Linked DNA regions of Tribolium castaneum. The protein of the gene in region 1 purifies or fractionates together with the protein of each later gene. This does not show direct contact. Links are inferred from orthologs where the notes say so. Each region holds a gene or a part of one and is shown on either strand. Other genes may lie near its edges. The genes, in order: PHD finger protein 14 and Hmg-2.

Region 1 (4,365 bases):
TCGAAAAGCTTATTTTTTTCTGAACTCAAAACAATATAAATACAGTTTGATGTTTTTATATACTTTTAATAAAAATATATATCAAATATTTGAATGTAGTTGGCCATGAAAAAATTATTTCACACAAAAGGTGTGAATAATCTAGATATTTTATGAACGGATGTGAAAATAAGCTATGTTAAAGTTATTTTAAATTAAATAAATATACGATGGTCGCAGATTTCAATTACATAAAAAATGTGCAAAAAATTGAAAACGATGTCACTATTATTTGATGACATTATTTTGTGATTTAGTGAAGTGCTATGGAGGTGACGTTGATAATGTTATGTATTTTTTTAACGCAGATGGGATTTGATTTTGGCGTTTGAATTGACATTTTTTGTAAAATAAAATTTTATTTACAGGCAATCGTACAATTAATAAAATTTTTCTTTTTCCGAAATTTCATGTTTAATAAGAAATTAGAATGACAATGTAAGCTAGCCATTTTAAATTTAAAAACAAATAATTTTTGTTAATCGCAAAAATTTGATCTAAGAATAATTTATCATTAAATTATAAATACTTGTTGGGTAATACATTTTCCAGAGTTTTAACTGAGAATTTAAAAATTTTTTCATAGCCTACTATAAAAAAGCGAAATTTTTTTTAATATTTAAAAACAATGTATTACACAAATATCACAGTCGCCTATGATTCCAATTTAAAAAAATAAAACTTTATGTTATTTACACCTAACCGAAAAATATGGATTTTTTATCCAAAAAAACACTTAAATATCACTTGTTCTCAAATGACACAAGAAAGACTGTTTCTGCTGATAATATCTATTAATATATTTGTTACAATAAATTGTGGAAAAATTCTGAAAAAAATTCACATGCATAGATTATTAGTTTTCTTCTTCAAATCATTTAAAATTTTTCCAGCTTTCAACAGTAACTAATTTTAAGATTTGCCAACATATTATCAATTTGACATATGTCAGGTCAGGTCAAGTCAATATAAACAAATGTAATACTGAAGAACGAATAGTGAATTAATTTTAAAATAAATCAAAAAGGAAGAAAAAAAAAAGAAAAATACATTTAATAAACAAATAAATAAAAAAAAAAATACTGTGAAGAGTTGGCGACACTGTACGATATCGCTTTTCAATGTTGCCAACCAATAAAAAAAATTGGAATAGCATACAGTGTGGGGCAAAAACCTTACCATGTGACATGGAAGTAGGTCTTGCACATGCCGGCATCGCACCCGATGCACACCCCCGTCCTGGCAAAGCGCTCATCCTGACACAAGCTGCAACTTTTCGCCCCCCATTTGCTGTAAGGCATTTCGAAAAGAGTCACACTTGTCAATTTATCAACTTCGCCGAATGCCACTCCAGGAACATAGAGAGCGCAAACGAGATGAATCCACTTCCCGACGTCCGTCTCCTTGAAAATGCCCCCCGAATTGGGGCACAGCTCGCAAACAGGGTTCATCACGCCGGCTTTGCACGCCTCGCAAAACCAGGGGGCTGTCGGGGACAGAGAGTCGGTGCTGCTCAAACTGGCGGAGTCCGCGACGCCGTAACAGGCCTCGTGGACAGTGACCCCACAAGAGTCGCATTCGACGATTTCGTTGACGCCGTCGCTTTGGTCCCCGAGACAGCCGCAGCAGATCAAAATTTGGGCGTCTTTTTCATTGAACTGCGGGAAAAGGGGGCCAAAATTTATTTTTGACAGTTATAGTTATATTTGTGTCAAACTTGACTTAAGTAATCGTTGAAAAATGTCAACTGTCTAACTTGACTTAAGTAACCGTTTCTATGGCAACAAATACTAACTTAACGGCCGTGGCCGTTGTGATTAATTTTAGTTAATAAAATTAAAATTACCGAACTTAGCTGCAAATTGGCTTGTTGGATGACATCCGCAATGGATAGCCCGTCCCCATTGGGCAAATTCAAATTTTTCAATTCGTCTAAGTCTGATCCTTCTGATTCCTCCTCTCCACTGCTGTCATTACCTGTAAAATCCCCCGAAAATGATTGTAGCTGTCAGGAATTGGTGATGAGTTACCTCCAGAAGCACTGTTCCCGGAGTCATCATCATCGCTCACTTCCGGGTGGTCTTCAATCCGGAAATCCGAATCATCCGAGCTCTCCTCTTCGAGATCAAAGTCCAGAATCGAGGCTTGGGTCTCAACCGGCTTAACCCTCCTCTTATTCGGGTCTCTCTCAACTGTTAAAAATTCCATCATTAGCAAAAATTATTGATTAGTTTCAAAACGAAAAACATCAAAACGTTGCCAAATTGCCAACCCCGAAAAAGCACTTCCGGTCGTGCAAGTCACCGTTGAGCAATCTGGCCCCGCTTTGGCACCTACGGGAACTCATCTCGGGGCCCAAATCCCCGATTGTTGATAAATTTAAGCGTTTTTTATCACTGACAAGCAACCATAACCACACTTTTGCGCGTCACCCGACCGGCTTCCGAGCGTCGAGCTTTATCGATTTTCGAAAAGTGACCGGGAAAGTTTATAGTGAATTTTACTAAATGAGGGGGTGGAGGGCGACTTACTGGCCGTTTTCGTGACGAAATCGATGTCTTCGGCACGCTCCAGGAGGTTGGGCATGATGGTGAAGAGGTCCCTCGTGGGAGCTGAGGCGCTGTACTTCTTAAATTCGGGTGGCGATTTCGACTCCGGTGGGGGAATTTTGGGGGGAAATGGAAGGATAATGGGGTTCTGCCAGGGCGGCCTTCGAACTTGAAAGGAAAATTTCGGGGAATTTTTGCCCAAAGAATTTTTTTAGGTTCATTAAAAATGATAATTGTTTTTGTCAAAGAGATTAATTACAATAAGACTAGCACGCTTTTTCAAAAATGACGCTAAACTTGGAAAAAAATTGTAAGGGCACGTGGTCGAATTATGCAACTGTTTACTGCATTATTGTTCGAGGCGTTGCATAACTTATTATACAGGCTGTTCCAATTTTCCGAAAAAGCCTCATAACTTGTTTATTATCAGATATGTTTTTACAGTATAGCTGTGAAAATTAAAAAAAAAGTTCGAACTTAAAGGATATATATTTTTTAACTTACTGCAATCTAGAAGATAAAAAATGAAGAAGTAAGAATTAATATTTATATAAAGATCATTCTTGAGTTCAAAAAGATAAAAAATGTAATTTCAACTTCCGTAATTAAGTTGAATATCTGAAATTTTTTAAATGGAACACTTTTGGGCACACCATACTTTTTATTTTTGCATCTAAAAGACCTTTAAATTGTCTTCCTAAAAACATTAACAGTTAAGTGTATTTTTCTGATTACCTACTTAAAAAAATATTTAATTTTAAACCATAAAAAAGTGATTAACTATTGTTTCAACTGTCAACAAGTGAAATTTTTAGCTAATAATAACTTTAATGTTATCTCTAGGCTGTTATTCGTCATTCCTTACAGTGAAATAACTAAAATTTTAATATTTATGTGGAGTATAAAATTTAATAAATTTTTTGTGACTTTTATGGTTGACTAATGGTTAAATTACGGTAAAATTTACTTTTAAAGTAAAATACCTTTTTAGTTATTCTCATTAGACGTTTAGAACTTTATATAATGTTTAATATTTAATAATCTTTGAAAGGCAAAAACAAGAAATTGTGTATTCCATTTAACTTTTTCAAGTTAATCAACTTTTATCAAACTTTTTAAATTTTCTAAGTTCTTAATTGCATTACGATAAATAACTGCTAGAAATTTCAGTTTGAACTTTTTCCTTTAAAATGAAATTTATACTTTTCTAGGATTCCAAGTTTTCTGTAATAATTTTTTAAGCAAGTTTTGATCAAAATCATCGGTATTAAAAGCAACGTCCAAAAATGCAATAAGATATAGACTGTTTCATTTAAGAAAACATAAGTTAGTTGTGTTTTTTTTAATATTAGGACACTTAAAATACACTGAATTTTTTTTAAACATTCAGCGGAATCGTATCATAATTAAAAAAAAGGAAAAATCAATGTTTAATAATAAACTAATTTTAAGAAAAATACATTTTTTCGTTATCAGGACATTTATTAATTAATAATTACGTCAAAAGGGGCCAAAGATTGTTTCGTACAGCATAAAAACAAATCTTTAATTACATCATTTGCGCACTTATGCAACCAGTAATATTACTCATTGCTCAATGCCGGTATTGCTAGTTGCATACCACATGTAAAGGAACAATTTTTAAGCTCTTTTTTGGCCAAACAAGTCCACGTTTTTGGTTTTCACATCGAAAAGACTGCTTTTTTTCAACTGTTTGAAGTGGTACCGGACCTGGTACCCATACTCCACCGAGAATGACAATAACTCAATTTCGGTC
Region 2 (3,968 bases), on another chromosome or scaffold:
ATAGTTGGAAATATTAATATCGCTTTAACTCGACTTTAATTATTGTTTTCTACACGCAATCAATTAATTTGACACAAAAACATGTAGTGCTGCTTCTGATATAAATCATCAAACGTGTCCATAAATGCACTTTGGGTTAATTAAACGGAGCCGCGTAAACATTTTTTACACGAATTTTTCTTCGTTTTGACCCGAAAAATTATTTTTGGAGCACAAAAAATTGATTCATAATGTCGGAGGTAACAATTTAACAAAATATAAAACACAATTTCGTAAATATCTTGCGGCATTTATTGAATATTCGTGCAGTTAAACAAAACAGAATAAAATTTAAGGAGTGTGCTTAAAAAAATGCGTAAAATATTATTTTCAGCTCAGTAGAGATCAAAAGTTGTTTTTTTATAATTCATCAATTTCCCTTGGATGTAAATGAGAAAAATGTATAATTAGAACTGAAGAAAAAAAATATTAAAAGTCAGCAATCTAAGAATCAATAATTTTTTGCTCTATTTTTTGTTGTGGAGATTAAATGTTTAAAATTTTTACTACCTGTTAAAACATAATTAAAGTAGAACAATTTCCAAAGGAATTAGCTACAATATTTTTTTTGGTGATGGGAGTAAAAATAAAACCAGATTTCATAAATATCTTGCGAAATTTATTGACGGAATATTAAATACATTAAATTAATTGAACTACTAAATACTTAGTAGTAATTACACAATACCTAACGTATGAATCACAGGACCATCATAACTAATCAAATCATAAAACCCACTCTGAAAGTGAAATAAAACTGCTATATAAAAAATTACGTGATCTTCTTAACTTTTCGTTTTCTCTTGGAAGCGCGACTTGTTTGTCATCCGTTGAACTCAAGCCGCCCGACAATATTCCTAACAGTATGTAAAAGGTTCGCGTCATGACTACTGTTCTCCAATAAAATCGAATGCAGATTTGTCATGTACGAGTCGATATTTTGCTGCGTTGCGACTTCTTTGACCCCTGGGAGCTTCACACCGGAAAAACCATTGGTTAACGTGCCCCTTAAATGATCCAAATGTTTTTGCAAAGACGCGTTATTTTTCTCCTGCTGCGAGATTTCAGACTCGAGCTTGGCAATGGCGTCCTTCATATTCTCGATATGTTTTTGCAAAATTGCGTTTTGTTGCTCATAATCTGTGTTCGATTTACGCAACTGGCGCAGTTCCGAGTCTCGCATTTTGTTGTGATCGAGAAACTCCTCCGTGAAGATGGGGATGTCGAAATTACCGAAATCCATATCGGGGATTTCCTTGTTGATGACCGGCTGAACGGAGCTCTGAAAATAGAAATTTCGGGGGCTTCCTTCCGACAATTACCGGGTGCGGGCACAAACAGAAAGCGCATCACCAAAACCGTACAATACAATTTTGTAGTTTTTTGTAATCTTCAAGATATATGGTTTAATTTTTTTCTAATAAAAAATTATGGACGTTTTTAGTGTATTCAATCAACTAGAAATACTTATTTTTGCTAGGGCCAAAAGACTTGGAACACCCTGTTAAATCTCTGTGATTACATATCACTTTTTTTCTACTTCTACAGATTTTTCATTACGTTCAAAATTTGTGACCAATCGAAGTGCATTATGACAACCACGTGACAACTTGTAACCAATGGCAATGTGCCACGATGCAATTATTACGAGTGACAGTAGTCTGACATTAAAAATAAAACTGACATTTTTAAAAACTGTATTTTTTTTAAATAGTGTATGCAGTTGTAATTGCATGGTTATTAAGACACGAGCCGCATGTACGGTTTTGGCCCGCCACGTCTTTGCTGCAACACGCGCCCCCTTAGCAACTCACCTTGCTCTCCTCCTTGCTCTCCTTCATTTTTTTCTCATTCTGTTGCTGCGTGAATAATTTATAAGCTTCCGTCTGCTTATAGGCATTGTATTCCCGCGTGTACCGCTCCCTGTCTTGCTCTGCAGCATCCAAATACTGTTGTTTTTTATCCGCCGGCAAATTCGTCCATTCATTTGCCAGCATTTTCGTGATTTCGGCGAACGACAAGGTGGGGTTGGCGCTCCGCACGGTCTCCCGTCTGTCATTCAAGTACCGCACATACCCTACAACCCCCGTAAGACACCTCTGGACGCCCCTCGAACTGAAACACTCACCGGTCAGCGGGTGCCGTGGGGCCGTGCTGTCTTTCGGTTTCTTCCGTTTCTTGGCTTTGGCCACTTTGGGCTTCTGCTGCGTCGTGTTGTCGGAGCTGTCGGGGGCCTTCTCGTCGTTGGACGTGGAGGCTTTGGGGGGCTTCTTACCATTTTCCGGCGGGACATTAGCCACTTCCTCGCTGTTTTCCATTTTACGTCCGGTTGGGAAGATGCTAACCAACGTGACAGTTGTTTGTAACTGTCAATGTTTCATTTGTTTTGGGGGGCCACGAGCGCTCCAAAGGGCCAAACGCGCCGAACCGCCCCATTTAATTCAATTAAAAGTCGGGCCAATTGGGCGAAATTAACAATAAAACGCGCGTTACTTTGCCATTTTGCAGGTTCCTGTACCGGGTTTGTGGCTCGATTGGTAGGTGGCGGGTGCGGGTAACGTCAGAATTGACTGGCATTGTCGCCAACTTCGAAACTCCCTAAATTTTGGGTTTGGAAACCAAACGATAGGTTCCAAAAAGTTGTGTTATTGAGGCATTGTGTTACGAAAGTAAAATTCCGGGTGCTTGTAAGTAGGAAAAAGCGCGTTTTTTGTGGCGTTTGTCGGTCACAAGGCGTTTTTTTGTCGTGTTTGAAAATCGCGTTTTTTGTAGAAATTCGTCTCCTTTGTGCAGTTTTTGTTTTTTTTTGTGTGATGGTATGAAGCACGGGTGCCCCCATGGATTATAGAGTGTTGGTTGTGGTCGGGTAAGTGTGCAAGGCCTTGGCGTTAAGTTAGGTTATCTTCCTGCTCGAGTTTTGGCAGCTGCTGTGAAGGCTATTTATTTTGGATTAATTTATGAATGTGTAAATGAATGACATGTGTATTGATCTGTATATTTAAGTCTGACGCTAATTTCGGCACCCCCGTGCCATTTAAAAATACACCGATGCGCTAATGAATGTCTTGAACACCGACCACTCGGGGGTTTATGTAAAGTAGAGGCAACTTTGGCGGATTATTTATCTCTGTGATAAAGGGGCGCAGGTATGCAGATTCGGGAAAAGTGAGCGATTTCGGCTTTCTACCTGGACTTGCACCATAGCCATCCATCCGGAATTACACCTAAAGGTATAAATAACACTTTTAGGGGCTATTTTCGGAAAACGGCAGCTTTTGGCGGCAAATATTTCGCCTTCGAAAACACCAACGCAAACATATTGCATAAAGGGATTAGTCAGCGAGAGGTTTCTCAATTTTACATTAAAATCACTCGCGAAGATTATCAACAGGTGTAACAATTGTTTACAAAAACGCTCATCTAAACCCACATTTCACGCTAGTTTCAATAGAGAATCAATTGTGCGTGGGAGCAAAAAACTCCAAAAACATCATTAATTAACTTCATATTTTGTTTCGTTCTTCAGTTTCTTTTTTTCAAATTTTGTGTTTATTTGTTCAGTTGTCCGTGTTAAATTTGAAGTAGGTTTATCAGATGAATAAGTGGAACACCTGTACTGTTTTTTTCCTTAAAATTTAATAAAAAAGTGGCCAATTTTTCATTTATTTTCACCAGACTACCTGTTTTGATTTCAATCTTTCCAATAGTATTTCTAAAAAGCATTTTCTTTTAAACAGATACTATTGTTGGGCTCTTTTTATCTTGTTTTCCATAAAATGTTGGGAAATAATTTCGTTCTTGGCTGAAAAACGTACCAAAACGCTCGAAAAAGAAAATTTTATTTTACAATAAAGTCCAATTTCGTGATCTTTTACAAAAAAGCTGAGCAATAAATTTAAAAATGTGGGTAACAATGTTCAAATAATACA

What was found.
Region 2: the proteins of PHD finger protein 14 (region 1) and Hmg-2 purify together in Homo sapiens (affinity purification with mass spectrometry; 3 studies listed by BioGRID and IntAct, counting the BioPlex papers as one, with this or other methods). This does not show direct contact. The link is inferred for Tribolium castaneum from reciprocal best matches to the Homo sapiens genes PHF14 and HMG20A.

The regions. Positions count from the first base shown.
Region 1 is NC_087400.1:6,362,672-6,367,036, reverse strand, and holds the start of PHD finger protein 14, read right to left. Parts: upstream 2,868-4,365; 5' UTR 2,626-2,867; coding exon 2,571-2,625; intron 2,509-2,570; exon of another isoform or gene 2,387-2,508; coding exon of another isoform or gene 2,377-2,386; intron 2,232-2,376; coding exon 2,070-2,231; intron 2,017-2,069; coding exon 1,886-2,016; intron 1,698-1,885; coding exon 1,219-1,697; intron 1-1,218. Other genes in the region: uncharacterized protein LOC103313283, read right to left, coding at 4,230-4,365. UniProt on the Homo sapiens protein: Histone-binding protein. Binds preferentially to unmodified histone H3 but can also bind to a lesser extent to histone H3 trimethylated at 'Lys-9' (H3K9me3) as well as to histone H3 monomethylated at 'Lys-27' (H3K27ac) and trimethylated at 'Lys-27' (H3K27me3).
Region 2 is NC_087396.1:21,976,424-21,980,391, reverse strand, and holds Hmg-2 (high mobility group protein 20A), read right to left. Parts: upstream 2,591-3,968; 5' UTR 2,358-2,590; coding exon 2,168-2,357; intron 2,117-2,167; coding exon 1,854-2,116; intron 1,322-1,853; coding exon 863-1,321; 3' UTR 637-862; downstream 1-636. UniProt on the Homo sapiens protein: Plays a role in neuronal differentiation as chromatin-associated protein. Acts as inhibitor of HMG20B. Overcomes the repressive effects of the neuronal silencer REST and induces the activation of neuronal-specific genes.